Linked DNA regions of Daphnia pulex. The protein of the gene in region 3 binds, or shares a complex with, the protein of the main gene of each other region. Links are inferred from orthologs where the notes say so. Each region holds a gene or a part of one and is shown on either strand. Other genes may lie near its edges.

Region 1 (6,632 bases), on a different chromosome or scaffold from region 3:
TACCAGAACTCTAGCTCAAGACTAACATGTAACTATGGAGATGGCGGCAGCGCGCGACTGCCCGACTGCGCATCCAGTGCCATCTGGCGGTCACATTTTCTACCCCACTACAATAACAATTGACCCATTCGAGGAATGCGAAACCAATTTTTCTCAGGCTACCTTTTGCTGTCTTTCACACAGATAATCCCCCCACCCCAATCAACAACAATTGGCACACACAAAAACTTTAGTTCACGTATATAGGAGGTTAATTCATTCACTTGGTCAGTTTGGGCTATTCTGGGAATGCTGTATAAAAGACAATGCAGAGCGAAGATCCTACGGCATTCGAAAGAAGTGGAAAACTGGAAACAAAGAAGGAATCATTTTCTTTACAATCTCTTGGGGGAGAATTTGAGAAGTAGGAAAGACGAAAAGCTCGAAAAAAAGAAAGCATCGTAGTAAATCTATTGACTGGGCGTCAAAAGTCGGAACTTTTTTTCATTTTTTACAAGGGAGGCCTATTTTTCCCTCTCTCCTATTTGTAACGTTCTCTTCCCCTTCGCATCTGTTTCCCCCTCACTAAACCAGCAGACCCCCAGACAGCAGCAGCAGCTTCAAGCCCTTCGTTTCCCCATCGTTTCATTTCGTTTCTATTTTCCAACTGAAATCCCCTCGCACTGGAATAGGCCTTTTTTCATAGGGGCTTATAGCTTTTTCACCCTTCCGTACGACTTAGAAAAAGGCGCTTCTACGAAAATTCCTTGAAGCTATTCACTAAACTTTTTTTCTCCATTCAATAAAAGGTCTTTAGCGAAGGATTTCGACTAACGCTCTATTCACGAGTTTCTAGTGTCATGATTTTGTCCCCATATCAAGTCAGAAGAGAGGATGTTGCCCTTTACTAGAGGGTATCGCCGGGTATCGCCTAGTGGAAGAACGCAACTTGACTATGCCTCGGAAAAACAACATTTAATTTATTATCGAGGCCCTTTGCTTGAATGGCGCTTTTGAATGTTATGCGTCGATTTAATTTATAGTAACTGGTTCCTTTTTTGGTGTAATTCAAGGTTAATGATTAACACTTTTCACCCCTACTCGAGTCTGACAACGTCGCATATAAATACTCTCCTTCAAGGTGAACATAATAAATAGGCCTTGAATAGATGGTATAGTAGAAGAAAATGACTTTATTGTGAGATCAATTAACTGTTCTATATTAGCCATTCTTTTCGTCAGGGAGTTTCCTGTGGGTTTAGGACTGGCAAAGTTAAAATGTGTTTGGCCCTTAAAACAAGAGTCAATTGCTGGTTCGGTTCAAGGTAGGGAGGGACAAGAAAGAGAGAGTGAGGGAGGAAAGAAAGAAAATGTCGAAAACGAAGAGAGATGAAAGCCCAAGTTGGGCTTGGCTGCGCGAACAGCAGGGGCTGCGCTGGCTGGCTCCGGGCATCTCGTTGCTGTTGTATCCGTGCATAGGCACAGGAGAGAAATGGAGATTGGAGAACTAATTGCATCTCCTGGGTTTTCTCGTGTGTCTATCACCCCGTAGATTCCTTAGCAGCAAGAGATCTCTCTTCCATCGGTTATCTATTGTTATATATTTTTTTTCTTCTCCGGATACGCAAGGCGAATTTACTATTGCAAACGTCTGACAAATAATTAAGAACTAAATCGTAATTACGAGCTAATTGTATTTTACGTTCGAATGCAACTGAGCGAGAAAATGGAAGATGTATTATGGTGTCGCTCTAAAATTAGTGGTATGGCTTTTGCTTTTGTACTGAATTTGGTGAGCATTCAAGTTCAAAGTATCTATAACGCAGAAAGTATCTATAACAAACGAAAAACTTTCATGCTTCAAAATATGTATACACATTTGACATTTATTAAGCGCGCCGAACTTTCTGCAAAAACAAAACATTTGTTTTCATTCGTTATTAAAAATGGGCATCTGAATCTTCTGTGCTAACAACGATTTTCGCTGTCGCTTTGCCAGTTGGCAACGAACGATCCGACACATCCACTCTTACTACGCCGCACCTACTGACTTATGAAATATGCAGCAAAACAGCTGAAGGTGCAGCGTGTTATTACAAGTCCACAAGGGCTTCTTCTCTTCTAAATATTTCAGTTTCTTGGTGTATTTCAGCCTAAAGGTTTTATGGGCTTATTTTAAGCATGTAAAATTAATGTGAAGAGAAAGAATGAGATAAGTGCTTCCATCTTTTTATCAAAACAGAAAGCGTCTCGAATAAATCAAGACTTGGCCATATTTTTATTTTCATACATTCATTCTGACAAGTTTATTTACTTTCCACGGGGTTTATTATTGCCACCACCACCACCACCACCTCGTCCCGACGGCGCGCCTCGACCTCTTGAAGCACCAAAAGAACCTGATGGTCAACACAAGAATAATTTTATATCATATCAATAGGAATATGCATGCTCCATATTATACGTCAACGAAGCCTATATGTTTTAAAATAAAAATATTAAATAATAAAATTAAAATAATCCCATCGATTCAATCAATCATTAACTATTAATTTGAGTTTGACGCACATTCGTGTAGCTGCGATAAGCTAACGCTTAGTAAAAGGAAATAATGTAAGTTATAATAATGTACACGACTGAGAAACATTACCTAGGTAGTACTATACTTCATTAAACTGTAAACTTTTTTTGGAAGGTTAAAATAAAATATAAAAAAACGTGAAAAGATTAAATAATTAATTTTATAAATTCCTATTTTTAATTAATATTAAAATTAATTTATTATCAGTATTCAAGTAAGAGACGCGGCATGTACCTCTTGAAATAATAATCAATAAAAAACAAATTATAAACCTCTACATAGTAGATAGATTTCATTTTTAAACCATAAGAGCAGGCATTCCTGAATGTGCAGATAGGATGTTTAGCTATTCATTCGTCAAATGACACGAAACGACGTAATTTAAAAATAAAGCTACGATATACTGAACATGATTCTAGAATAATGAGATTAACAAGAAGTCAAACATACATTAGTTATTGTACAATCATTTGAGCATTAAGTGATTGTACTATATTTATCCCATTGGACCATTATCAGAAAATTTTGTATAATACTGTTATAACTTGGTACTTGTTCAATAATATTCATGACTAAAACAATATTAAGACTACGAATAAAATTGTTTTGTATACCCCATTAACTTAATTGATAATGAGTGAGAAAATTTTGGCATTTAAAACATACCTCTACTACCACCTCTGCCTCCTCTTTGGGCTCCACCTCTTCCTTTACCATCACTGCGACCACGACCTTTTGCAACTACTTCTTCCTTAACCATATCAATGACTTCATCTGGAATTCGAAGATATTTGATGGTACTGCCTCTAATGTAACACTCAGGCATTCTCCAAAATCTGTCACCATCCTAAAGAAATTGTATTTTTGTTCATTAAATATTATATGTAAAACCTTATGATCGTATTCAAGAATATCACTGACAGATACAGATGACGGAACTATCTTAAATGAAAGTACTTTACCTTGGAGGTGCAAATTACTTCTCGTAGATTGATGTTCATCCAGTTATCACAACTCACCAAGTGGCCATTGTAAGTCTCCCCATTTTTCAATTCCACTAACTGTAAATATTGAAACACTAGTTTTATTGCTGTAAATAACAAAAGTAAAAAATGCTTACCATGGGATGATTCTGGGCTGTACGTAGTAGCGACAAAGGTAACTAGATAAATAAATAATTAAATTAATCTTCGATGATTCGGTATGAAGCACAAAACTCAATAGTTACCATAATTGATTTAATATTATTGTTCTCGATATGTTCCAATTAATAATTAAGAAAAAGGTTTCTCCTAGGTTTTAAGTGGTTGGAAAATGGAAATCAAAGATCAAAGATTTATGAAGCAGAAACACCATCTATCGTGCGATCGGCCAATCCTTTACACCGCGCCACAGCGGGTGTGTTGGGAAATGTTATAAAATAGGCGGCTGTGTTCGGAACGGTTCCGAATGGACAAGATCAATCAGGACCAATAATCCATTAACGTATAAACCCGTAAAAACGTAACGTAAAATAAACCATTAACACTGCGCTGATCCTGAACGTTATTCGCGATACATCAGTAACACGTATTGTATTGACTATTGACGCAGCCGAATAGATCTTATTGCAATTCAAAAGTACGCGACATAGCCAAAAGTCGTGCGAAGCTTACGCCAATGCGTACCACTGTGGCGTATAGCCGAACTAGAAATTATTTTATGCTTGACTAATCCTATACTCCCTCCTATACGACAGAGGATAATTATAGAACTTGAATTAACCTTAATTAATTTAATCTAGTTACCAATTGATCTCATCTGGACGTGGAGCAAAATCAACGGACCAACGGTGAGGCTTAAAGATAACAATCAGGCTCGAGCTTTCTGGGATTGATCCACATCGCCAATTGGGCCTATGATCTTGGCTTACCCTCGCTGCTTGAATGTTTGAGGCGAAGGTTATAAAAGCTATTCCAACTGGTCGTTTGATAGCCTAAATGAATGGCAAAGTAGTGGTTACTAGATCACTATTCACTACGACATTAAATTATTTTAAAAAATATACCTTCAGTTTTTCTTGATCAATAAGTGACGCAAGTTGCCTTTCTTCGCTCGTGTAATATATACCCCCTATACGACGGAATTTCCGTCGTATAGGAGGGAGTATGGCAGGGAAATCATCTTTATTGCTCTGAGGTGTGTAAAATAATGTACTCTAGACCTAGATCAAGTATTGGTGGCACCAATGGTGAGAAACGGAAACGTACACTTAGTGTACAGAACAATAGCCAGAATTCTCTGACCGACATGTCGAGAGAAGACATGATAATATACTAATAAAGGATTTAAAAGAGGAAAGAGAGACGCTCATTCAAGAGAAAGAGTGCATTATCAGTCATACTAAAGAGATAGAAAGTGAGCTAACCAGCATCAAGGTTAAAATTGCAAATAGGTTCTTGAATGGGTTATTCGGTGATGGGCAGCCGACTAAGGAGAATGAGCCACCTAGTGGAATGGACTCGCAGCTAGGTAAATCCTATGCGGCAGTGGCCTCGAAGTCGGTCACCATCATTGCTAAGCTAGATCCGGATGTGGACACGAGCAATTTTATCGGTGATGCTATGGATGAGTTCTTTAAAAGTAATTCGGAGTATCTGACGCTGCAGTCTTTCACTAAGAGAGACAATATAGCTCGGTTTAAGTTTAATAACGACGCTGATGCCAAAAAGGCTAAACAGTTAATGGAAGCGGATGGAAAAATAGAGGCGTCCTTAAAATCTGTTTCAGAACGCAAAATAGAGTACCCGATAGCAGTCTTCGGGACTGGGATAGAGAATCTAGAGGTTCTTAAAAAAGAGATGGAGTTTAGAAATGAAATATTACGTGGTAAAATTAATAGAATCAAACCGCTCTCGAATTAGAAAGGACACGTCAAAGATTTATGGCACATTCAAAAAGTGTGAAGAAGCAGTAATCCAAGCTAGGAAAATATCAGTTAAAAATGCCGCAGGTGAGTTAAAAGAGAATAGAGTAGAAAAAGCTAAACTGGATTTTGAGGTGACGTATTGTTACAAATGTAAAAAACTGGGCCATGTCACGTTTAAATGCACAAACAAATCGGCAGCAGAAATCTGTGACCGGTTCGCAGAGTCGCACAAAACACAAGACTGCATCCATCCAGACAACAAGATGAAATGCGTGAATTGCAAAGGTGCACACAAATCGGGTGACTTTCAATGTTCAGCGCACATTAAGGTGGTGGATAGACTGAGACAACTCTTAGCCTAAAGTATGAATCACAATAACAAATCACTTTCATGTTTACAGATTAATCTGCAGCACTGTAAAGTAGCATCCTTAAACCTGAGTCAAGTTTGAGTAGAGCTAGATATTGACATAGCGTTAATTCAAGAACCTTACGCCATAACCAATAAATTTAATAATGAGTTACTTATACCAAATATTCCTAGTAATTATACGGTTCATCATAACTTAAATAAAGAACATGCTTTTGGTGCAATAATTCTGGCTACAAAATTTCTTATGGCTGTAAATATAGCAGTGCAAAACCTAAATAATTGTGTAGGAGTCCATTTAAACAAATACCCTGGTCTAAACTTTTTCTCTGTATATTGCCGACCGTCTCTGAGTCTAGATTATTTTTTGAATCTTATAAAGACTGGTCCTGACTTAGAGCGGTCTGTATAATAGGCATGGATTCTAACGCAAAAAATAAGTTATGGAATAGTAAGTCTACGGATAAAAGAGGTGAGTGTCTGGAATCATTTACTGACCAAAACAAGTTAAATATAGCAAACGTTCCTGTTTCCAAATTAGAATACATTCCCCAGATAACAGCGATGGTGGACGTCACTCTCAGAGGTGATAATACCAATATTTCAAATTGGCATTTTCCCAACGAGAACAGTCACTCTGATCATCCGATCATTCTGTTTCAAGTGGCTGTGAAACAACCAAAGCGTAGTACAGTAAGTAAAATAGTGCCAAGAGTAAAAAACATAGATAAAATGAAATGTCTTGCTAAGTTGGAAATTAAAGTTAAAAAAAATAGAAGATCAATTACCACTAA
Region 2 (5,203 bases), on a different chromosome or scaffold from region 3:
TACTTACACTATGTCTCAATGCCTCTGGTGCTGTCCATTTGATGGGGAACTTGCCTCCCTCTTGATTGTATATTTCTTCGCGAGCCAATCCAAAATCACAAACTTTAGCATCTCCGGTCTCAGCGACCAAGACGTTTCGGGCCGCCAAGTCTCGATGAACAACTTTTTTCGATTCAAGATATTCCATTCCTGAACAGGTATCACTACGGAGGTATAAATGAATAAATGAGGTTCGTATAACAATACGACAAGAAAGTAATATTACTAGGCAAATTTGATTTGATCTCGTTTGGTGACATGTAACCGGCCTCTTGAGCGAAGGTAATCTACTAAACTTCCTTTACTCATAAATTCTGTGACCAGGTAGAGGTGCTGATGCTGATCGTTGAACACCAAGCCAAGTAGTTGAACTAGATTCGGGTGACGTAAAGATCTATATCCCAGAATTGAAGATGTTATTATTTAAGGAAAATTTGTAAAATGTTTCCTACTTACGTCATTACTGATGCTTCAGCAAGAAATTTTTGTGCTGCTTTGCTTGAATCTTTCAATATTTTAACAGCTACTTTTTCTCCTTTAAAAGAACCTAGCATCACATCACCAAATTCTCCTTTCCCTATTGACTCCTTAAGCTATTTAAAGGGGAAAACTAATTTAGTGAAAACTGGCTAATGTTTGAGGTGTTTTTTTCTTCTTTTACTTGGAGATCTTTTTCTTGAATGATCCAGCCTGCTTCCTCAAAGTCCTTTCGATCAACACAGAAGTCCGTTTTGCCCTGTTTAGCAACACTCCTCTCAAGACGGGTACAAAGTCCATCTGCATCCTTTTCATAATGCTAAATATTGTTCAAAAGAAAAATCAATATTAGCCATTCAGATAGTCATAAACCTAAAACTTCCTAGTTTTAATTAATAAAAGCAGAATAGAGCTTACTTCAACAAGCTCTGCCAAGGTAGAAAAGAACTCCTCTTCATCAATGGTCAGTTTGTTATCTTTGTATATGACTCTGTAATGTTGAACCTCCCCTTGATAACTGACACAGAGAGTGTAGTCTCCAGGATAATTGGTAGACTCACGAACCAAGAAAAGACCATCTTCTCTTGGTTGTAGCAGGTTTTCTGCTTGTTCCCTTGAAATTTTCCCATGGAACCAGCTGAAAAAGAAAAACAAGCATAGTTAATGATCAACAGCATGATATTGAATGATGGTAATGGGAAAGGCTGTGACACTTACGGCATTGCATGAAGTTTTACTTCTAGTTTCTTGTTCATTTCGTTGTTTGAAGGCATTCACTAAGAGTAGTTCAATTTCACACTTATACCTTTAAAGGAAGATAAAACCGTTTCAGACACACCTCAAAGGCAACAAAAATATACAGTGGTGCACACGGAGTTCAATAAGTACAAGTTCGTTGTTGGACGGCCACCGGCTGTAAACACCTGTTATCCTCTTCACTTTATGGTACTTTCATGGGGATCAGCACATTCATAAGTAAAAAGTTTTGATGTCTTCACTTAGGGGTATATGACACATTGTTCTAACCGAGCTATTGAAACGGTTACATTCATTTAATCTGACGGGGCGAAACAAGAAACAGGCAGGAAACAGACTGCCGCCATAGTGTCGAGCACCTAGTGGCTTAAGTTTAAACTAAATGGACATGTCACTCTATCTCGAGTTCTTTTTGGGAAGTATTCGTTACCTGCTAATAACTACGTACGGTATACGTAAAATATAAAATAATTGAAATAAATTTTCATGGTAAGTTAAATCACTGTTCGGAAACCTAACCGTAAGTAATATAATGTAATTGTTGTAACGATTGTTGTACGATGTGTTTACTTGATGGTCAATTTATGAGACAAACAATTTATGAAAATGGGGATTCAAAAGTGTCATCATTTATTAGTTTTTAATCCAGTGTCATTTAATTGAACAACACAGTTAATAGCGATATTTGGTAGAATAATCTTTCGGTGAAACAACCAAACCTCGACCTTTTCTGGCTCCACGATAGACTGTTTCCACAATGTCAATCATTTCTTGTTTATCTTCTATTGCCCAGTTGATTTTATTGTTGTTACCAGTGCCTAAATCTATCATAATGTGTTTGTTACGGAAGAAAAACATGTTTGTGCAAGGATCATACAACTCGTACCTATATAGAAAAACAGTGAAAATCATTATTGGGATTCATTCATACAATGTAAATATGAAATTACATCTTATTGAAGTCAGGAACTTGGGTGATATCCACTAAATAGATGACAGCAAAGTTCTTGACTTTCTCTGCAATTTGATAAAGCACTTCATCCATTTTCATGCAAGTTGGGTCCCAATCATGACCAAAACGAATAACCTGTAGTAAAGCATGTTTAAATTGATAGTAATATTAACTAGAGAAAGTTTGATTTACCACTAAACGGTCCTCTTCTGAAAGAATTGCTTGATCTACTTGCCAACCATTAACAAGATGCTGTAACATGTAAGACATATTGTTTGATTGATAAAGGTCGTGAAAAAAGAAAAAGCTGAACAGTGCTTAGAAATAGATCTCGCTTCACGTTTTCAAACCTTTCCTTTCAGAAACCCGAAAAAGGTAAATAATGCGTCTGTCAACTTCACGAGTAACACGACATCTGTGTGTGAAATTTTCATCCACTTTCTTTACAAATTCATTCCCAACTCCCAAGGAATATAAACATATTTAACAGTATAAAAATGTGTATAGTTAACTATAAAATATTTAAAGTTTTACTAATAAAACATTTTAAAAGTAAAATAAAATTTATTTCTAATAAGGGATTATTCTTAAGATCTGGCAAGTGGCAATACTTTCGAATTCCCCCCCTGGCCCCCTTCCTCTTATCATTTGTTTTCAATTTTTCGTTCAGACTTCATGGCACGGGGTCGCCTTCAGAAACCCGAAAAACCAGTTGTGCTTTTACGTAAAATCAAATCTCTTTTTACATAACCTGTTGAAAACCGACTATGCTTTCAATCTAAACGAATTAATAACTCAGCCATTCCTTCAAGATAGCCAATAGTCTCAACACCGGCCATGATCACAATAAGCATTGTTATTACCATCTTTATTTTGTTGAGCATGAGTTCCATTCTTGGTATTCTTGTGTTTGTTGTTGATACTAAGTGGATACCAAAGATTATAATTGATCTCTACTCTTATGGGAAAAGTTGTGAAGGTAAGGTATTTGGCAGTTCAATCAGAACTATCCTTATTCCGAAGAGGTATTAAAGTTACTACTGCTGATTCCTTTACAATTAAAATTAAAAATTTATTTTAATCTGCTAAATTAAGTTGGTTTACACACTTTTATGTGTTTGGAGTATTCTATACATTCCTGGTTCTCATAACAATGATGTGGAAGATTGTGTTGAAGAATCAATTATCTACGCTTGTAACCTCATACATTAGTTTTGTATCACCATACACTCACAATCCTTTAGGTAACTGAACAATTTTAACAAAATTTTATTCATTCTGTATTGTTAAAATATTGTCTATTTATAAAGCTAGCCCTGAGTTATCACTATTAGCTGCTGTACTTTTTTTCCTGCAAACATCCAGGAGGTTGTATGAATGTTTGTGTGTCACTGTTTTTGCTGATTCAAAAATGAACCTTGGCCATTATTTAGTTGGCTATCTACATTATTGGGGGTGTGCCACTGTCATACTTTCATACTCAGCTGACTATTCCAGTACAAATGGTAGGTGTTACCAACACAATATTTTCCCATTACATGATAATCTTTTCTTTAATTTATTGTTGAACAATCTAGATTTTGTATGGATACCAAATAGCAATGATATCCCTTTACAACCCATTTTTGGCATAATTTTGTTTACTCTTGCCTACTATCATCAATATATTGCACATGTATCCTTAGCAAATTTAAGGAAAGGTAAAGAATTTTTTTGATTCAAACTTATAATTCAGTGAAAGTTTCATTTATTTTTAGATCCAAAAAATAAGCAAAAACATAGTCTTCCTCAAAACGGACTTTTTAACTATGTCTCCTGTCCAAATTTTCTCTGTGAAATCATTATTTATGTCTCTCTATACATTATACTGGGCTTTAATCATTATCCCTGGGCACTGATAACATTTTGGGTTTTAACAAACCAGGTATGTTTGATAAAATTTTCTCAGAAATTGTTGCTTAACCATGTAAATCTGGTTAATTTTTATCTTTTCATACTTGCAGATCATGACTGCTACCATGACCCATAATTGGTATAAATCCAAATTCAAGGAATTTCCTAAAACAAGAAAAGCAATTATTCCTTTCATTTACTGATTACTTTGGAAAACGACGTCAAAAATTACAATTCCTTTAAGGCATAATGCATTTTTTTTCCTATGATTAAAAAAAATGTTAATTAAGTACCGTAGTGATTGTTGTAATAATAAGGCAATTCCAGAGTCAAGGTACAATTGAGCGAATATTGGCTGCTTTTAATTACACGGCATGTCGATTCCGAAAAGATCGCAACCTGGTCTCTGATAGCGCGCCAGTACGTTCCCTACCACACGGTCCATTTGTGATTTTTCATCAGCCCGGTCGAATTTTGTAGCCGGTGACGATAAAGAAAGTCTATAACTCAAATCCCAGACAACTTATCTTTATCATGTTCTTGCTTTCTGATTCTTCTTTCTGCATAAAAAATCTACGTAAAAAGACAGTCTACCGAAACCGGTGCATCAATAAAGGTAAGAAGGTGGCGTGATTTGTTAAACATAGAGATTCTGTAGACTAGTCAGGTCGATCTCACCATCTCGGATCTGGTTATCACAAGTTTGTTTTAATCGCTTTCAAAATTAGTCGTTAAGCTGAACATTTTGTCATAGTTAAAGAAGTTTTGAATCCTTAGTTGGTTTCAATATTATTAAAAATACCCGACAATAGAACTCCAGTGCTCGACAGTAGAACTCCGATAATTTGAGCTGCGACTGTGCAACCAACTTCAAAACTCATTACCAGATGTCGCTAGTGTCGCCTTTGTTTTTGTTACATCGTGAAACGAGGCAAAATGGGCGAAACAATTGGATGCTTATTAATACTTATATTCCTGTGATTTCATATACCAAATTGAACTTCGTATCATATGTAGGTTCATCTTGACCTAATTTTCTTATTTTTATGCTGTACCAACTTATTTCTTCAAATTTTAGCTGCATAC
Region 3 (6,996 bases):
GTCGTACGGTTCTATTGGCCAGTCTATCCACGGATCGATCGGCACCAAATCTGCTTATCAGCAACAACCAACTGGTCATCAGCATTCTCAGGTATTTAACAATTTGCATTTCTTATTTTTCTACATTTTCGTTCTTGCTAAACTCTTTTTTTTTTCCCTGCAGATGTATTATCCTTATGACCCGAACCAGCCACTAATGAATATGAGCCAAGTCAGTCAAATGGGCGGCCAAAGTTACTTGTCGCAATCGCAGCTTCTGTCGCAGCAGCGAACAGCTCCTCCGCCACAAGTTCAAGCAATTCAGCCGCCGCCGTCTTCGTTCTATTCGGGAGGTGCCGGTCAGAGCAACCAGAACGCAGGTTATTATGGACAGCAACCTGGTGGCCCTAGTCTCCAACAAATGGGACAAGGTCCTCCAGCCGCCCCTGGCCCGTTTTCGCTCCCAGGGTTTGCATCTCAAGCTGGCCTGCAAGGATACGCCAATCGGGCTGCTCAACAGCAGCAGCAACAACAACAACAGCAACAACAGCAGCAGCAACAACAACAACAGATGCCGTCGCAACAGCAGCAGCAGCAATACAATCTAAACATGGCTGCACGTTATCCGCCACGAAACGGCCCTGGTCCGATGTGTACGAACCAAGTACCTCCGACAGGACCACTAGGCGGTCTACAATTTGTTAAACCTACTCATTCACCGTCTGGTCCGAGTCCATCTCCTGCTGGAGCCGCTCCATCTCCAGCCCAGTACATGTCCGGACAACTGGACAACATTGGAAGTAGTCAGAGTGGAGGAGAGAAAATAGACATGGTTCAGCAGCAACAGGGTGGTTCCGGAACCTCTCCCAAATCGAGGAACAAGGTTCAGCAACAACAAGCAGCCAATCAGCAGCAACAACAGCAGCAGCAACAACAGCAGCAGCAGCAGCAGCAGCAGCAAATTCATCCGATGAACAAGTTTCCGGGCAGCTCACATTCGAGTGGTGCTTACCCTGGCCCTCCCTCGATTCGAACATCTTACGTTTCCGTCCGAAGCGCTCCACCGCCTCAGCAAACATCAGGGAACAACTCCAATAACATGATGAGTTCCGGCGGAAGCACGGGCAACAATGCTCCTCGGTATCCGACACCAATTCAGCGACCGACTGCTCCTACAGGCAACATGCAGCAACATCCTCCACCGCCCATGCATTCTAGTGGCCCTCCCGGAGCCCCTGTAGGTGGCTTGGGAGCCCGACCTAGAGCCCCCAACCCTCATCCGGCTCGAATTCCCGGCTCGGGTTCGGCACCTGGTCATCCATCTCAGATGAAGAGCAACGCATCAAATAGTTATGCGATGACGGCAAATCAGCAACACGACAAATCGACTCCAGCTAGTAGCAGCAACGCTTCGACTACTCCGACTACGGCAACCACTTCGGCCAGCGCGGCAACGTCTTCGGCCGATGATAAGCCTCAACGGAAAGGAGGTAATAACGCGTCAGATGCTTCTACGAAGCCTGGTTCGAGTGAATCAAGCAACAAGGACAGCAGTGCTAAAGCCGACGGTTCTGTCGCTTCCGCCGCCAAGTGAATTTGAGGAGATAGTAAAAGAAAAAAAAAACTTAAAAAAAAGTGCTGTGCAAGTTTTTCGTTTGAAGGACTCGGTTTCCTGAGTGGAAGATTTCACACAGACTTTCTTTTTGCAAAGCTGACGCACGGGGAAAAAATTAAAGAGCGTAAGAAGATAACTTGTCCTTTTGTACCGGACATTTGTCGTCTTCTGCTAGCCCTGCAGCTGCCGCCCTAAACTCCCCTTTTTCCTTCTTTGATCCTTTGTACTTTTTCCCCGACTGATCACTTTTTTCTTGTTCCCGCACACACACCTCGTTTATTCGCGACAAAGCTAAAAAAAAAGGCCCACCAATTGTTTCTCCTAATTTTTTTTCGTCCTTCCAACTTTTGGCCGTTTTCCAATTTTTTGTAGCATAAAATAAAAATCACCCCACCGCTGCTCACCGCAAAAAAATAAGCTATTTGAATTCGATCGAATGCTGGTCTGATTTTTGAAGAAACTTTGTGCGAGTGTATGTAAGGGAAAAAGAGTAGCAAACGAGCGGAATTCATGAAGGACAATTTGATTGCGCGGTGTGAATCTAATTTTTCACTACGACCCTTTATTTTTTCATCCCTTCTGTCCTCTTTGGGGGTTGTCTCTTACGTGTTTGTTTCAAGATTTCTTTATTTTGCTCTGCATTCTCAAACCCACTTCTTCTCTCTTAATTAAACAAATCACTCCTTTTTCCCTGTTTTGCCACACAACATCGTTTGGAGCAAGATAAATGAAACAAAAAAAAACGAAATAAGTTGTGTATTATTGCATCTTGTGTAATCAAACATGGTTCGTTTTCCTCGCGACGTGGTGTGTTAATTTTATTCAATCCAATAAGAAGTCTCACATTAATGCTTTAGTACGAATTTGAATATTTATTTCAACTCGGGTTTTACACTTTTGACAGAAATTTCAGTTGGACATTTCAACGTCGCTTCTTTCCGTAGATTGTTCCCATATCTAAAATGTTTGAACATTTTAAATGGGACATAATAACGTTTTATTGTATTTTTTTTTCTACCTGAATGTAAGCTTCTGTGAGAGTGATCATCTGCGGAAGAATTTCTGTCACGTGCAGATCTTGCATTTCAAACCATTTTCCTGTCGCCTAATAGAAGCAATTGACTCGTGAAGTTTATTGTGATTATTGGTCAACAATAAAACGAATTTACCTTATGAAGTATGTGAACACGATAAGTTCCCTTGGTTGGTTCTCCATCATGTACAATATTGGCTAACAGATCGTATGTGGTACATCCGTGTTTGGCGCGAACATCTGCACCTAGAATATCGCCAAAATCCACACCCCTAAAAGCACATCTCAATTTTGTAACAGTCAACAAAAAATGGTGTGGTAATTTTATTTACCTGATGGGGAAGTTTATGATGGTGGGATTCTTTTCTATGAAAAACGTGTTCTTCGTGAATCTCTTGATGTTGAGAATAATGTAACGTGGCAGTTTTGTCAATTCGAATCTCTTCAAAAAATTTTCCTTGTAGGTCTTGTATTCCTTTTGCTGGACTCCATTGAATTGAGACAGCAATGCAAACAGAGATACCTGAAAAATCAACAAAAGACTCGATCTAGCTTTTAATTAATGCTACAAGCTAATTGATTTTGGCAAACCTGTGGAATGATGTTTTCGCGAAATTCATCTTTGAACAGAGGAGGGGGAGGCAAGTCGGCTGCCAGAAAAAGGAAAGGCGAATCGACAAATGTTTCGACGTATTCGGCAGTCAACATCAGTGCATCCTTTTCTGTATCAGTGGCATCGATGGGTGGGATTCGCTGAGAATGAATTTTCATTGCTCCCAAAAAAGATTTGTAGATGATTGAAGAAGTTGGCTTCTTGGTACCGTTTAATGCCAGATGCAACGCGTTTAAAAACCACGAAAGAAATTCCACTGGATCACCTGAAATATGGAAAATGAAGAATTAGCAAGGTAAAATTTTAATAACAATTCTCATAATTTAATATTACCCTGGCTTGTAATTTGGAATTTCTTTTTACTGCACAGAACGACAGCCTGGAGCATCTCGTGGGGGGAAACGTGAGCCTTAAAGTTGCGTGGATTCCAAAGCTTACGAATCAATTCACCAAAACGCTGAACTAAGATGACGTTATTGTCTCCAGGAGGACGCTTGATACCAATGTAGTTCTCTTCCCTGAGAAAGTAATCGCGTAGTGGAACAACATGAGATAAAGCCTAATACAAAAGTAAGTAAAGTTTATTATTTTAATTTATAGTTTACTACTTCATTACCTGTAGGACTACATTGCAGTAATCATTAGCTTTGATGTTATTGAGTCCAACTACTCCAGGACGGTAAAGAGTACCATCACAAGACCTAGATACTTTATCAATGACATCCAACACTGCAATATTTGCTTTTTTGAATGTTGGATTCAAGACATATTTGATATCATCGAGTGATGAATCAATGATTTCATAGTTGTCTGGCAGACAATAGAATCTTAGGGTGTGAAGGTTCAAAAAAACATGATGTCCCTCTCCCACACTGTGAAGATATGCATGTGTGCTGGGGCCTCTTCCTAGAATTCATTTGAAACAATTTAAAATATGTGAATATTGCTGTTTAACTTCAAATTTACCTTGAAAGTATTTCCCACACACCAAACATGCATAGACATTAATCCTTGTGAGCGAGACTGAACAGAGTTTTTCAAAATCAAAATCCAAAACTGTCCTGTTTATTGTGTCCAAATAAGGACACAAACGAGATTTGGCAATTGGTTCTCCTAGAATTTTTATCAGTAAAAGTTGTTACACGGATTGCACTATATTTATTATTTGGTTTTGTGGATAGTGACAACAATACTTGTTTTCACGACGGGTTCGTCTTCATCATCGAAATCTTCATGTTTGCGCTTTATATCACTCTTTTCCGTCCCCATTTTTGAAAAGATATTTACCCCAAGAGCCAAAATTGACAGCTTTTCTTATTGTTTAAGAATTAAGGAAACTCGAATGCAGAGTTACGGAAAGGATAGCAGACACATAAAACGAATGCAACGCGTTAATGCCGGTAAACGAAAAAGTAGAATTATTGTCCTGTAGATGGCGTGAACTACTTCATTCAAATCTTGTAACGCGATTCAAAATTTCGTTTGATTATCATGGTCATGCGTCAAGTAAATAATTATTTGTACAAGATGGGGCTACTATTTTTTATCGTTTGAATTACTATCCTGATAACTAACTAAAAAACCCTTATTTTGTGTCTGGTAACGCTGTTGGGTCTTGGGTGTTGTGTAATCATCTCAAAGTTTAGAGTTTGTCTCGAATTTGTTTGGATGTATTATCAGAACTCTGTTTACCTTGATTAACTTATGTCAACAGAAGTCTATATTTTGAAAGCGATATTCATGGTTCAGATAATGATGTTCAGCATAGTGTAGATTTTTTCTGCCTGGATACAAATTGCTTACTTGAACCATAAACCCGGAAACAAGCAATTTCCGGGTTTCTAAAAATCAACTAAGCAATTGGTGAATTAGAATTTCGTAATTCATTTTCAATAGAATGTTTTTTTTTGTATAAGTTCGTCCTTCGAAGGTGTACAAAAATATAATCATTGGGTAATTTTGTTTGCCCTTTGATTTTAGCACGCAATACGGATTATCAGATTAGTCAAATCAAGTTCGATGTCACAATCATAATCTTTGAAAAACCCATTTATATCACTTTCTAATCAAGAAGTGATCGATTGCCCAATCATTGATAGACCAATAATTTTTGTATAAATTGGTCGTGTGCAGTTTGCATTTTCTGTTTCTCAAAAGGACACGGTTTCTTTCTTTAACTTTAAACTGAAATTGTGTTCGTTCGTCATGAAAGTGGTTGGCATTTTCGCTTTGCTCTGCCTTTTTACCCTTTCCAATGGTTTGCTCATATTTGTTACTCGTTCCTTGATTGGGTTGATTCTAAATTTCTAACGACCATAATTTTTAATTTTGTCATTACTTTTGGTAGGTGCTGGAATTCGACGCCCCGTTTCTGGAAAAGGCGAGCCGCTTCTTCGTCTTTCCTTTCCGGCCTCTGAACATTTGATGAATCGTGCTCGAAGTGGGGAAGCAGGAAATGCCAATGAATACATGGACGAGGTATTTGTAATATAATTCAATTTCGTTCTTTGATTTACTGAATTTTGTCTTTTTAAAAACATTTTATATTTTAGGTTTTGGCTTTAGTTCGCGAGCAGATAGTCCTGCTAGGATACGACCGTATTCAGCTTCCAGATGGCGATTTTAGCTTTACGTATGACGGGAAAAATTGACAATCAACTTTATTTTTAGTAAATATGAATTTTCTGAAATTTCCTAAATAGATGGGATGCTTACCCCGGCGTAAATGGCGGTGTCTTTTTGCACGATGGCTTGGCTACTGGTTTGGAAACAATTCACCGTGTTGGGGACGCTACTCTTAGCAACACTGACACTGTCATTTTCTTTGAATCTGATTGCGGCATCAACAATGTAGGTTTCATTTATTTCCCGCTCGTAACAGAAATAAAAATTAACGGTTTTGCAAAACTTTATAGGGAGCTTTTGGTTATGCCATTAGCATTCTTTTTATGGATATCGGACCAACCGCTTCGATGACCGGAACTGCCGATTACATCAACTTCTACTTCCATGTTTGCTTTTCTCTACGTTAAATAACAATTCACATAGTAACTAATTAACTAACCATCTTTTCATTTCTACAGTCTACTATCGATATTCTCTCCGGAATTGTTGTTGTCGACGTTTTTGATTTAAAGAAAATTGGTCATATCAGCACAGATATACAAGGCTTGGGAATTTTTAATTGGCTCGCCGAAATCGTAAAAGAGAAGCTTTAACATGTTCTGCATTCTCAATTTGGTTTGATAATTTTTGAATGCCTTTATAGATTGTCGATTTTGCCCTTAACCTACTGAAGCCCTTTTTCAAGGAGCTCATAGAAGGTCCTCTTACGAACCTTATCAACGTTGTACTTCAAGCTTACAGTAGGTCCAAGTTCGATAGGAATGACTTTATTACCGCCTCTAATCAATGTTCACAACAATTTTTCCTTTTTAGTCGACTCGCTAAGAAACCCACCAACGACAATCGCCAGCCTTATTTAAGAAACTGCCAGCGCAATTTACGGTGGATAAGCTAAAGAAATACAGCCAGACAAAAAAAAGAAACATTCCCTAGCTAGTATGTAGTGAATAAATACAGGGAAATCGAAATTTGTATTCACAAACACCCGATATGGATTTCAATTACAATAGTAGTGTAGTCTTATTTGTTTTCTCTTTAACGTCACTGCATACTTTTTAAAAATATTGGTCTAGTTTGTCGTCACGATTTTAATCTTACGAAAACAGTCTATTGCATTATTATCACTAACCG
Region 4 (5,715 bases), about 1.6 Mb from region 3:
GAGCGCCGTGATCTCGTCCTTGGCCCAGTTGATTATGGATCCGCACTTCCGCACCATCAACGGGTTCCAGAGCCTCGTCCAAAAGGAGTGGGTCACGCTCGGTCACGCGTTCACCAAACGGTTCGGCCGCATCAGCGAGTACGAGAGCCAACAGTCGCCGCTGTTCCAGCTGTTCCTCGACTGCGTCTGGCAGATGCAGCACCAATTCCCCATGTCGTTTGAATTCAGCGAAACTTATCTGACGTCCCTGTGGGACTCGCTGCACAACACGGTCTTTGACACCTTCTCCTTCGACAGCGACCGCATCCGCCAGCTGATGACCCAGTCACCGCAGCCGCAGGAAGGCGGAGGAGATGGATGCCCAGTCGCTTTGATTTCACGGTCCGTCTGGGACTGGTCGTCTCAGTTCCACGATGTCGACATTGGCCTTTTTCTCAATCCGCTTTTCAGCATCACCTGTCGAGTCGCAGCTTATCGACAGCGCAAAGGAATTCCGGCGGCCAATTACCACAATGTCAACAACCTGGTCCCGCGCTGGATCCCTGGATTGGCCTCGCACAACGACGGTGGTGGCGGAGGCGGCACTCGACCCAGACGCAACAGCATTTCCGGAAGCATTTCCGCTCTGAGAGCCACCGAGTACGGGGCGGCCGAGAACAAGAAAACGGACACGCTGGGCCGCAGTTGGGGCAGCCGATTCGGTTTGGCCGCCTTACCCGAACACCACGGCGGAAATTCCGTGGGAACTCTGAGTCGGGCCGGCGGCGGTGGTAACAGCGAAGGCGGAGGAAGCGGAAGTAGCCGCTGGAAGCGAATCCGCGGGGCTCTTTTCCACAGTCACGGCCGCTCTTTCTCTCCTCACCAACAGCAGATCTCATCCATCGAGGAAGGGATGGAAATGCCGCTCATGTCCAGCAGTCACCACGATTCGTCGGCCGTCACTTACAGAGCGTCCAGGGGCATCGTCGACCTGGGAAATCATCCGCAAACTCAGCAGAGGTGGACAGTCTACGGAGCGGCCGTTTACGATCCGATTCCCAGTTACCCCATCAAACTGGAACCCAACAGTAAACCGTTGAAGCTGGACCTGGGTAAGGAGTGGGAGGAATTCAAGCCGGGCAAGGATCCAGGGCCTGACGGAGGAGACATTCCCTACCACGAACTGGACTGGCCCGTTTATTCGATGCTCCCGGTGGCCGATTCCTTCGTCGACTTCCGTCTGTGGAGTCAGTGCTACTTGCGGTGGATTCCGGTTCTCGACGTCCGCGGTGGTGGACATCCGCCCGTCTATTTCCATCACTGCGCCTTGGTCAACGACATTCTCAGTCTAGAATCGCAGCTGGACAAATTGCACCAGTGCCAGTTGCAGCACGACTTGAGTAACAATGGCGAGGCGGACATTTCTTCGTCGCCAAGTCAACGTTTCGTCACCATGAGCGACCATTCACCGGGTATCAACCGCTGTCGACTCACTTTCAATTGTTTGTTTGTTTTTTCTTAATTTTGATTTCTTATTCAGGCCAACCTGGAAGTCAGGTGACGCTGAGCAGCTTCCACCCGTTCGTCCAGCAACAAAACGATTCTGCCTTGTCATTCGGCGAGTGGGAAATTGTTCCTTCGCCCGTCATTTCCGGCTCCACACTCCGTTCGACTGGAAGTCGGGCCGTCGAAGCTGAATTCGATTCCGACTCTTTTGTCACCGATTGAGATTTGAACATCAGTTATTATCATTGCCTTTAGAATTTTCCTCTCGATTCATTTCACGTTGTCCAGTTCGTTTGACGGCCGAATGTTGTGACATTCACACAGAAAGATGAGACGGTGCCTCTCCAATTTTCCTACACTTAAAAGTACATAAATATGAATTCGACCTTCGTAGGCTCTTTTCTAATCGCCTTCTAAAAATATAATTCTGTTTTGCATTACTGCTATATAATTGCATAAAAATTGAATCATTTATTCAAATCATCGTATTATTATCATTGTCGATCCGTGTTCTTTTACCTATCCGTTTTTTTGAAGGATTTTAATAATATTATTATACTATTTCACCTTTTTCTCGTTCTTTTATTATTGGAAAATTGGGAAACAACACACAGACAAATGATCATTGGTTCAATTTAGAAAAAAAAAATCAATTATTCTGGTTGAATGAAAGGGTTGGCAATGGCTTCCATACCGTCAGCAGGGCAGATGAGAACAACAGCTGTTCCACGACAAACCACCAAGCCCAACTGTCTGGTGTCTTCTGACAACTTGAATGAATCTTCCGAATCTAGAAATACAAGACATAACAGGAATTTTAAGTCAATCTTGTTTCACATACAATTTGTGGTAGTTCTCAAGTCTTACCTCTTAGATATTCTACCGTGTTGTCCAGGACAATGTTGAGTAGAGGATCGTAACCTTTAAGTATACCAGCTGCCTCTCTGCCTCCGGTAAACTTGACTCTGATCAACTTGTCCATGTAACGGGACAAGTCCAAGATTCTTTCCTTCTTCTTCTCCTTTAAATCTGCTGGGCTACCTGTTGCCGGTGTGGATTTATCGACCTTTTGCTAAAAAGAAAGGAAATGAATAACGTTATTAGCAAAACCCAGAATGATGTAATTCTAAAGCAGTAGCCAATAAAAGCCATGAGTGACGTGACGCATTGCTATTAATTGTACCCAATTTACGACAGGCAGATCAATGTTTTTCAGACATTATTCATAGCTTAAATATATTCAGTGCTTGTCATTTCATGTCTTGGGATTATAGACCACTAATTCATTTAGTAAATTAAATACTTACGGCTGCCATTTTTGCCGTTTGGGTTTGGTGTACAGAAAACAATAGAGTCGTCTGCAATGTTGTAAAAATCAAAATCGGAATAGCGCAGCACCGGTGCCAAATATTGATTTCAATGAATATTTTAACCACTCTTTTTTTCAAATCTTTTCTTTATAATTATTTTTCCATTCATTGAATATTTTAGATGGCGTTTTTTTTTACTGTGGATTTATTGAAAGCCTCATCAGTTTGGACCGGAGATGGACTGGCAACGGTCCCACATTTGCAGGCAATATGATGAGTCAAGTTTCGATGTAACTCTGCTTGATTTGAATTCTATAAGACGAAATCAGATTACTTGATACTATTCCGACACTGTATTGGTGTTCATGAGGAGCTGGTCAATTTATTGAATGCCAACAACAAAAAGAACAATACGATATTTGATAGATTCCTATCACGATTCCCTCCACTCATCTTAGTCGTCGCGGCCTGACAATCTGAAAAGAACGATTCTTTTGATATTTCAAATTTTCTGTCTATCTACACCGAACAGTAAACGAGTTTTTTAAATGGGAAATCTTTTTTCTTCAGGTTAAAATTGAACTGATCCTGGATAGTAGCCTGCTCTGCTGTATCGTTGAGTCTGATCCTGCCAGCTGCCACTTTTGAATAATGGAATCCAATTGAGTCCAGCCAATCACTTTGTCTTGGGGTAAGTGTCAATCAAATGATCTACCATTCCTTAAGGTTAAAAACTGTAAGAGAAAAATGTTACATGTCATTAGATAGAGACTTTCATACTGTCAGCTTACAAGTTACAGCAGAGGTGGCAGATAGAGGTGTGATTCTGTATTAAAGTCAAGATCACTCTTAACGTGACAATTAAACAGGAGCAAATAAGGTTATGGCCATGTTAGAAAATCAACAATTTATGGCGATAAGGTTAAGGCTGTTTCTGATGTCGGCTGGTTTTCTGTTTGAGTTGGGCTAGTGTCGCGTTCCCGCAGCATTTTGTTGATTTCTTTAACCCACCAAAACAATGCGAAACTGGTAAGAGTCGTCACAAACTGAATGATCCAGTAAAGCCTTATTATATCCCAATCATCGCCTTTGCTCAAACTTTCCATCCACAGGATCATAAGGATCACATTCTCGCACAAGCAGACCTATGACCCCATCAAATCGATAATATAGTTAAATGCATAAATTTTTTAAATCAAGAATTGTTAACTCACCGACTGATACATGGCAGGTGAGAATCGAGGGTGTGTGGGCTCCTTTTCTCCTGCCTTTTTTGTGGGGTACAAATAAGCGAAAAGGTGGAGAAATGACAATCTCAACGAGTCCATGAAATTGTAATTTGTTTCCAAATGCCAAATGAAAATTGGGATCAAGTGGGCAAGGCAGACGGGCCAAATAATCCAGCCGTAAGCCGATGCGAACAAACTTAAGGCCATGAGTCGGCCAACTAACGTTAAAAAAGTAATTTAAAAAGGTTTTCTATTGATAAAAATGAAGTAATTTAAGTAATTTACCTATCCACAAGAAATTAGCTAAACATAGAATGGCGCTATTTGTCCAGTTTACGTCTTTAATACAATTAATTGCTGCATCATTGTTGTAGTCTATGGTGATGCCGTTTGATCGGTTGCGTTGGTTCGAATTGCCACTTTTCTTCACACCGTCCATTAAACAGATTTTTTGATCGTACGAGACCAATGTCCATGCCAAGCTGACGACAGTGAAGATTTTGAAAATCACCGAAAAAACTATTAAAATACAAGATGGATCATTTTCAATCATTTTTTCAATGGTAACAGCTGTAATTATAATATAAGAATAAGTAAAAACCTCCAAAATGGGATCCTCCTTTTAGGGCGATGTAAAGTTTGAGCAATAATTGAGGCGCAGATTCCATGAAACTGTCAAATTGGCGCAGTTGTAGTAACTCGGCATCTTCCCAAATCATAGCGCTAAAATAAATGTTCTTGGAGGCGTCGTCATTTTCAATGGCTTGTTTCGCTAGGCGGGCATATTTAATTAAATCCCAATACCTGTACGAGAGAGATTTTCAACCCCAAAATAACGTTGCATCAACTTACAATTAAGTCAAATTGAAAATTCTTTTTGGAACATATTATACTACCTCGGAATAGGACAGACCAAACCGAGGACCCACTTGCTCCACCTAGCCACATGGGATTCCTCTGGCAAACGATCACGGGGGCCACAGGTTTTGTTGTCATTGTAAAACAGGAAACTTCTAACAGTCACAATAACCGCGGAAGTTAACCAAAACCCCAAGTACCACCAATCTTTTTCTTGCTTGAAAATCAGCCAATTAACATTCCAACCAATGTGACAGACGTAAAAAATTAATGAAAGGCAGTTTGAGCAGATCAACCAATTCAAGTTGGCAATTTTAAGATTGTCTCTGCAGCGATCTTCAAACTTCTTTGAATCTTCTTGACTCGGTTCCACGGTGGGGGAAGTTGAGTGTTTTCTTTTTTTAACAACTCCCATTTTTCTGTTGTCAACACAAGTCCTCACGACCGTTTCTCTTGCACACAGCAACGCGACGAAAGGGTTATGAGTGGGCAGGTCGTGTTGCGCTGGATCAAATGGCAATTAAACGGTATTGCCACTACGGTTGTACAACACTATACACATACCAGCTAACGTATCCAGACAGATGCAAAAGAAAACTAAGACTATAATAAGGTAGTTTGGCCAGAAGCAAAGCCGATACACTAATGAAATTCAAGGAACACATTGTGATTAGATAAATAGCAGAATACGGGGCGTCACATAATGTAGGGCTCCTTTGGAATTTCATCACTTGTGCAACAGTTTAACAAACAGATAAGAACTATCAATTGCCTTTAACAAACAGATACGAATGCCTTTCTTTCGCAATTCTCCTTCTCCTTTTATTCATTAA
Region 5 (5,101 bases), on a different chromosome or scaffold from region 3:
GACAATTTTTTTCAAAAAACAAAATTGGAAGCAATAAAAAAGAGAAATTTACGTCGGTGTGTTGGGACCGCGCGCGGTGGAAATCAGAGAAGCGTTAATGATCTGGTTTTGTGTGACACATGTTGTGTGGGTCTCTCTTCATCAAAATAATTTTTAAAAGGGAATGAACGCCACCCAAGAATAGCCGCGACCAAATCTAATAAATCTTGTAACCAATTATTTGATATTTCTTAAAGTCGATATCACATTCCTCGACAAAATCCGGATTTGGGTTTCACATTGACAAAACAAGAAGAAGTTTCTTTTTTTTTTCTCCCATCATCTTGTATATATGTACACGTCTGTGCCCGGCGGGACGAACCCGCAAGCCGCACCTCAACGTGCCAGGCGAAACAAGAAGACGAGGGGAGGATATCATTCACCGTCAAAGAAGCTCAGCAGCAGCAGCAACAGCAGCGAGATAGGCAACACAAGGAGAGAGAGAGCCACCAAAAGAACTCTTGTTAGGTTATACAACATTGTCTCAAAACAAGATAAGAACCCCCCACTACCACCCGAAGAAAAACGAACACGATAATCAAAAAAGGGAGAAAGCGGAATGATTGCGTCTCAAGGTTCACGCCCGCTTTCAACATCCCTCTTGAGCTGAAACTCGTCGGAGGGTCTCAATGCAACAACTTAAAGTTCCGCTATAGAAAAACAAAGGGAAGAAAAAATAAAACGTGTCTGTCATTTCACATTTTCTGCGGAGGCGTAAAAGAGTCTTATCAGTGTCGGGTGACGAGGATGGATTCGGGATAGCATCATCCATCATATTCTCTTCCACCGGAATTTTTCTTTATTATTCTCTTTCGAATATAAAATCGATTGCTGCCAATCACGTCACGCCCACTACATGTTTCCCGAGCTTGGCCTTTTTTAAAAACTTAAGTGACTTAAATGGCTATTGTATGGATCAACGATAAGTACAAATAAGGACTGTCTACTTGGGCATATCTACCAAATCGTGTTTACAACAGTACTGCATCCATTATGATGATGGCGGTGGTGGACTACGGCAGATTACAGAGATACGCCTAGTTTTCGTGACTTTCTCTCCCCGGAAGAAGGATTCGCTATTGTTCAGAATTTCGTGATTAAATTCGTATCTAGCAAAGTCCCTGCAATAACAAAGAGAGAGACAGAAATTTAGATAGAGTTATATATCACGATGGGCTCTATTTTGCATAGATAATTACTTCATTATATACAATGATCTTCTCGGTAATAGTGCCGTGACCAAGACTTGGGGTCGCTGTATATGTATGAGCCTCATCACACTGGCTGTGAGCAGAGATATGCCCGATATGGTGGGGCCACAAAACTATGTTTAGAGAAATATACGAATAGATTAGAATGATAATTTCCAAACGCTGTCATCTATCATACCTTTATGCTGTCCAGATGTGGTTTGATGTGACCATTCTCAGCTAAATCAAGCACATGGACATGCTGCATCGTGGTAGTTGAAAAGGCAAAAGCTCTCAACCGATTTATAACACAGTCATTGACTTGATTCCAAGTAGGTTTCTCTGTTTCCCTGTATCCGTGGATAGCCTTTTGGGTTTCGAATAACAAATGGTGGTCATTCAACAGTCAGACAACCTACGTGAACACGAAATTTCAGACTTACATCATCCCAATGGTCATACTGATACCGGGACCTTTTGAACTTCACCTCCAACTCTTCCAATAGGTTATTCTCTTCTTCAGCACTGATGAAATCTTTGTAGACTTGAAAGTCTTTCTCAAGCATTTGCCTCGTCGCTTCATCGCAGTCGGGAGAGAATTCTAAATTTGGAGAGATCCCGCGGGTCTCTGCGGGAGTTGAGCATGTGCTTCTTGAATGGGAACAAGTAGCACTTAAAGGAATTGCGCGCTTCAAAACTGCACGAATATTGACCAGATAAAGCACCATATCTCGATGCTAAAATATTCAACCATTAAAAGTCGGACATCAAAATATTTCAAATCGGCAATTTTCTGCAAAGAGCAGACGACGTTTGCGTGTGTGTACGTGACATGCCATATTTCGTTTTGATTGCAATCAAATGTAAAAAATGATGTCATTAAAAATGACAGACGGTACTTTATTTAATGGACATGTATATTTAAAATAAATAGATTTAACAAAATTGGGCTGGGGTTAGTCACGCTAATATATTATTTCGTTTAATGTTAATACCTCAAAACCGACCAAATAAAGAATTATACCGCATAATGGAAATGTAGGGCCTATCTGATTTTCAAATTTATTTGATGGCCAAAGAAAACGATTCATCAAAACTCTAGCCTGCTGAGTTCTTCTCCTCACCAACCATTTGATTAACGTCTCGGGAAAATAGCCTCAGGCACCCCTTCTCGATTTCTTTAGTCTTTTTCAAATAACCAATTTCCATACATAAACAAAAATTATATTACTCTATCGAAATCATTAATCACTGAAACATAAGTTTACTACAGTTTGTATGAATTAAATCTGAATAGAATGAATGAAAATACTTTGTTGATATTAAAGTAAAATAAACGGCAACGCTGTATTGCAGACGATTTTTACAAGCCAAATACAAAGTGAAGCGAGTGAAGAAATCATGGCATCAACGTTAGATTCTTACGTTAATCGTGAGTTTTAATTATTATATTGTTTATTATTCACTGAAAAATTGTATCTTTCTTGTTCGCAGGTTCCGTATGTGTTATCACGAGTGATGGGAGGAATTTTATTGTAAGTTGTAACGCCCGATCACAAGGCATCATCCTCACTCAATAAACCGTTTGAAATAATTTCAATGTATTCTTTTTACAGGGTATTCTTAAAGGATTCGATCAGACTATCAACCTTATCATTGACGACAGTCATGAGAGAGTGTTTAGTTCTACCCAGGGAGTTGAACAAGTCCAACTGGGACTGCACATCATCAGAGGAGACAATGTGTATGTTTCATCCACTTATTAGCTGTAAAATAACTCAATCATAACTATTTCTTGTTGTAATTTCAGAGTTTTAATTGGGGAAATTGATAATGAACTTGATTCCAGACTCAATTTATCAGAAATAAGAGCAGAACCACTAGCTCAAATCCACCATTAAAGTTTGCATTATTCCATCATGATCACTTGAAATACAATCTTTTTTACAGCTTTGTAGAATCATTCATTTTTTTACAATTAGCTCTAGTTTAAGCAGTTCTTCTTCAACTACTTTAAGGTTTATGATGGTGTCTTCAGGGATCACTGTTACCTAATTAAATGAAAAATCATGAAAACAAGTTTTTACATTAATAAAAATCAGACTTAATATAATTTACTTGGTCGGTTTCAGTAGAATCATCTGGAATGGTATCTTCTAGCAAACAAAGAAGAGCATCATTTTCATAGGTTGGAAAGTAGTACCTAAAAGTTTATCCAATAAAATAGGATCCACAAATAGAAAATTTTGAATGTATCCGGCTTACTGTGACTGATCCCAAACTGCCCGATCGGGAAGTTTAAAGTGACTGAAGTTTTGCATGTGCTCTCTCAGTTTATCCCGGGATTCAAACTGCTCATCGCAAAGTATGCATTTCTTTTCATGCACTTGTCTCCTGACGTAGTTGACAATCTTAATTTGCTGATAGATACTAAAGCTCTTTTTCAGGCCCAGAAAATCAAAGTTACTGTGAGATGCAATATGTTGGGATAAAACATCTGGTGCACTTGATTGAAAATCACAGAATAAGCAAATAGCTTCAGTCTCTGGCTCAAACCAGTCAGACCAATCTTCATTTTGGCAGTATTCATCAAATTCATCCATTATTTCCTTCCATGATTTTCCAGGCTCAAGGTAGTTCACCAAGTAAAATTTATCATATTCCTTATTGTGTGGGTTGATTTTCTTGTGGATTTTCTTTCTCATGTGCTCCTTCAACACAGTCCTATCCTTGAATGTTTTCTCGCAGTATAGGCAGATGTTCTGGGCTAACTTTTCATCTAGCAAATTTAAGAATTCTTCAACAAATACAATGTTGTCTGGAAGCCCAACACTAAAGTTATGATCAAAGTTCATGTGATCAAACAGGACTTTACGGTTTCCTGTGAAAATTTTACGACAGAAGAGACAAGAATGTGAGAACTCTTCATCTTTTCTTTCTTTCTGTTGTTGTTTTAAAACAAGGTTCTGTAAACAAAAATGTCAAAACAGTCAATAATAACCTAAAAGTAGGCCAAGCAACAAATGAATTATTCCACTAACCAATTTCTCTTTTTGCAGTTTCTCTCGCAGATTTTGATCTTCTGGGAGTTCATGTGCCAACATGAAATATTCCTCCTTTTCACCTTTTTCATTTTCTGCTTCCATGACAAAGCAATAGGCTTTAGGATCACATTCCCTAAACTTTGGTCTCCAGTAATCCACATATCTGATTTAAAAAGGGAAAATTACAAGTCAAAATTGGCAGTAATAAAACAGCAAATAAAAACCTTTTAAGATCAACAATTTCCTTGACGTCGGCAACAACCAATTTGTGAGTGAGTAAGAAGTGAGCAAGGATTTGATCATTTGACGACTTCAAATCAAACATTTCTGAGCAAAACAGACATTCACATAGAGTTGAAACAACCGACTCTTCTTGGACTTGTTTGTCGGGGAATGTCAGAGGCTCTAGAATAGGATTCATTTTTGCAGAAAACCAATTGACACTGCGTTATAATCATTAGTTTGCCCTCTTGCCAACACTTTTGTAAACCGACGTCTTGACTAAAAACCCACATTACTCGTCTGCTTCTATTATGAAACTCGGACGCCATCTACCGCAAAGAAAATTCTTTATATTCATTTTGTGTGTGTGTACAAAAACGCGCATTCTTTTCTGAGTGTGTATAACAATAATAAAGAAAACCCGGAAAATATCTAATAAATGTGTTGACTACCAAGTCAAAAAGACTAGACTCTTGATAACCAAATAATCGTACCTATGGTCCCATACCAAATAAATCAAAGTTAAGCATTTCCCAAGGACGGAATTATTGCTTCATAAATCGGAATGCCTCGAAGAAACACGCTTTCTTCAATAAATTCGTTATG

The links.
Region 1: U4/U6.U5 tri-snRNP-associated protein 2-like (region 3) and U6 snRNA-associated Sm-like protein LSm4 share a complex: the UniProt entries of both Homo sapiens proteins name them as parts of the U4/U6-U5 tri-snRNP complex. The link is inferred for Daphnia pulex from reciprocal best matches to the Homo sapiens genes USP39 and LSM4.
Region 2: U4/U6.U5 tri-snRNP-associated protein 2-like (region 3) and thioredoxin-like protein 4A share a complex: the UniProt entries of both Homo sapiens proteins name them as parts of the U4/U6-U5 tri-snRNP complex. The link is inferred for Daphnia pulex from reciprocal best matches to the Homo sapiens genes USP39 and TXNL4A.
Region 4: U4/U6.U5 tri-snRNP-associated protein 2-like (region 3) and U6 snRNA-associated Sm-like protein LSm7 share a complex: the UniProt entries of both Homo sapiens proteins name them as parts of the U4/U6-U5 tri-snRNP complex. The link is inferred for Daphnia pulex from reciprocal best matches to the Homo sapiens genes USP39 and LSM7.
Region 5: U4/U6.U5 tri-snRNP-associated protein 2-like (region 3) and U6 snRNA-associated Sm-like protein LSm8 share a complex: the UniProt entries of both Homo sapiens proteins name them as parts of the U4/U6-U5 tri-snRNP complex. The link is inferred for Daphnia pulex from reciprocal best matches to the Homo sapiens genes USP39 and LSM8.

What each region holds. Positions count from the first base shown.
Region 1 is NC_060026.1:5,480,471-5,487,102, forward strand, and holds U6 snRNA-associated Sm-like protein LSm4, read right to left. Parts: upstream 3,937-6,632; 5' UTR 3,792-3,936; coding exon 3,789-3,791; intron 3,723-3,788; coding exon 3,681-3,722; intron 3,622-3,680; coding exon 3,523-3,621; intron 3,408-3,522; coding exon 3,227-3,407; intron 2,379-3,226; coding exon 2,290-2,378; 3' UTR 2,108-2,289; downstream 1-2,107. UniProt on the Homo sapiens protein: Plays a role in pre-mRNA splicing as component of the U4/U6-U5 tri-snRNP complex that is involved in spliceosome assembly, and as component of the precatalytic spliceosome (spliceosome B complex).
Region 2 is NC_060018.1:1,946,291-1,951,493, reverse strand, and holds thioredoxin-like protein 4A, read right to left. Parts: upstream 2,627-5,203; 5' UTR 2,495-2,626; coding exon 2,417-2,494; intron 2,360-2,416; coding exon 2,223-2,359; intron 2,159-2,222; coding exon 1,945-2,158; 3' UTR 1,880-1,944; downstream 1-1,879. Other genes in the region: tyrosine-protein kinase CSK-like, read right to left, coding at 8-203, 266-433, 496-632, 701-835, 934-1,153, 1,234-1,289; polyprenol reductase-like, read left to right, coding at 3,062-3,249, 3,320-3,468, 3,535-3,729, 3,802-3,924, 3,982-4,148, 4,228-4,320. UniProt on the Homo sapiens protein: Plays a role in pre-mRNA splicing as component of the U5 snRNP and U4/U6-U5 tri-snRNP complexes that are involved in spliceosome assembly, and as component of the precatalytic spliceosome (spliceosome B complex).
Region 3 is NC_060025.1:1,778,122-1,785,117, reverse strand, and holds U4/U6.U5 tri-snRNP-associated protein 2-like, read right to left. Parts: upstream 4,641-6,996; 5' UTR 4,510-4,640; coding exon 4,434-4,509; intron 4,354-4,433; coding exon 4,207-4,353; intron 4,147-4,206; coding exon 3,857-4,146; intron 3,800-3,856; coding exon 3,574-3,799; intron 3,506-3,573; coding exon 3,219-3,505; intron 3,151-3,218; coding exon 2,960-3,150; intron 2,900-2,959; coding exon 2,764-2,899; intron 2,700-2,763; coding exon 2,613-2,699; intron 2,552-2,612; coding exon 2,504-2,551; 3' UTR 2,447-2,503; downstream 1-2,446. Other genes in the region: protein PRRC2C-like, read left to right, coding at 1-91, 164-1,573; uncharacterized protein LOC124202306, read left to right, coding at 5,446-5,497, 5,588-5,718, 5,793-5,872, 5,943-6,090, 6,156-6,251, 6,324-6,440, 6,509-6,605, 6,679-6,725.
Region 4 is NC_060025.1:133,598-139,312, forward strand, and holds U6 snRNA-associated Sm-like protein LSm7, read right to left. Parts: upstream 2,892-5,715; 5' UTR 2,802-2,891; coding exon 2,793-2,801; intron 2,558-2,792; coding exon 2,353-2,557; intron 2,276-2,352; coding exon 2,139-2,275; 3' UTR 1,772-2,138; downstream 1-1,771. Other genes in the region: myotubularin-related protein 10-B-like, read left to right, coding at 1-1,451, 1,520-1,707; XK-related protein 7-like, read right to left, coding at 3,704-3,940, 4,010-4,242, 4,310-4,543, 4,626-4,828, 4,921-5,297. UniProt on the Homo sapiens protein: Plays a role in pre-mRNA splicing as component of the U4/U6-U5 tri-snRNP complex that is involved in spliceosome assembly, and as component of the precatalytic spliceosome (spliceosome B complex).
Region 5 is NC_060019.1:329,927-335,027, forward strand, and holds U6 snRNA-associated Sm-like protein LSm8, read left to right. Parts: upstream 1-2,551; 5' UTR 2,552-2,630; coding exon 2,631-2,661; intron 2,662-2,723; coding exon 2,724-2,764; intron 2,765-2,845; coding exon 2,846-2,973; exon of another isoform or gene 2,974-3,039; coding exon 3,040-3,130; 3' UTR 3,131-3,182; downstream 3,183-5,101. Other genes in the region: alpha-ketoglutarate-dependent dioxygenase alkB homolog 7, mitochondrial-like, read right to left, coding at 1,031-1,160, 1,239-1,363, 1,429-1,596, 1,673-1,957; zinc finger protein 277-like, read right to left, coding at 3,194-3,280, 3,348-3,432, 3,495-4,195, 4,271-4,436, 4,498-4,694; aminoacylase-1-like, read right to left, coding at 5,018-5,101. UniProt on the Homo sapiens protein: Plays a role in pre-mRNA splicing as component of the U4/U6-U5 tri-snRNP complex that is involved in spliceosome assembly, and as component of the precatalytic spliceosome (spliceosome B complex).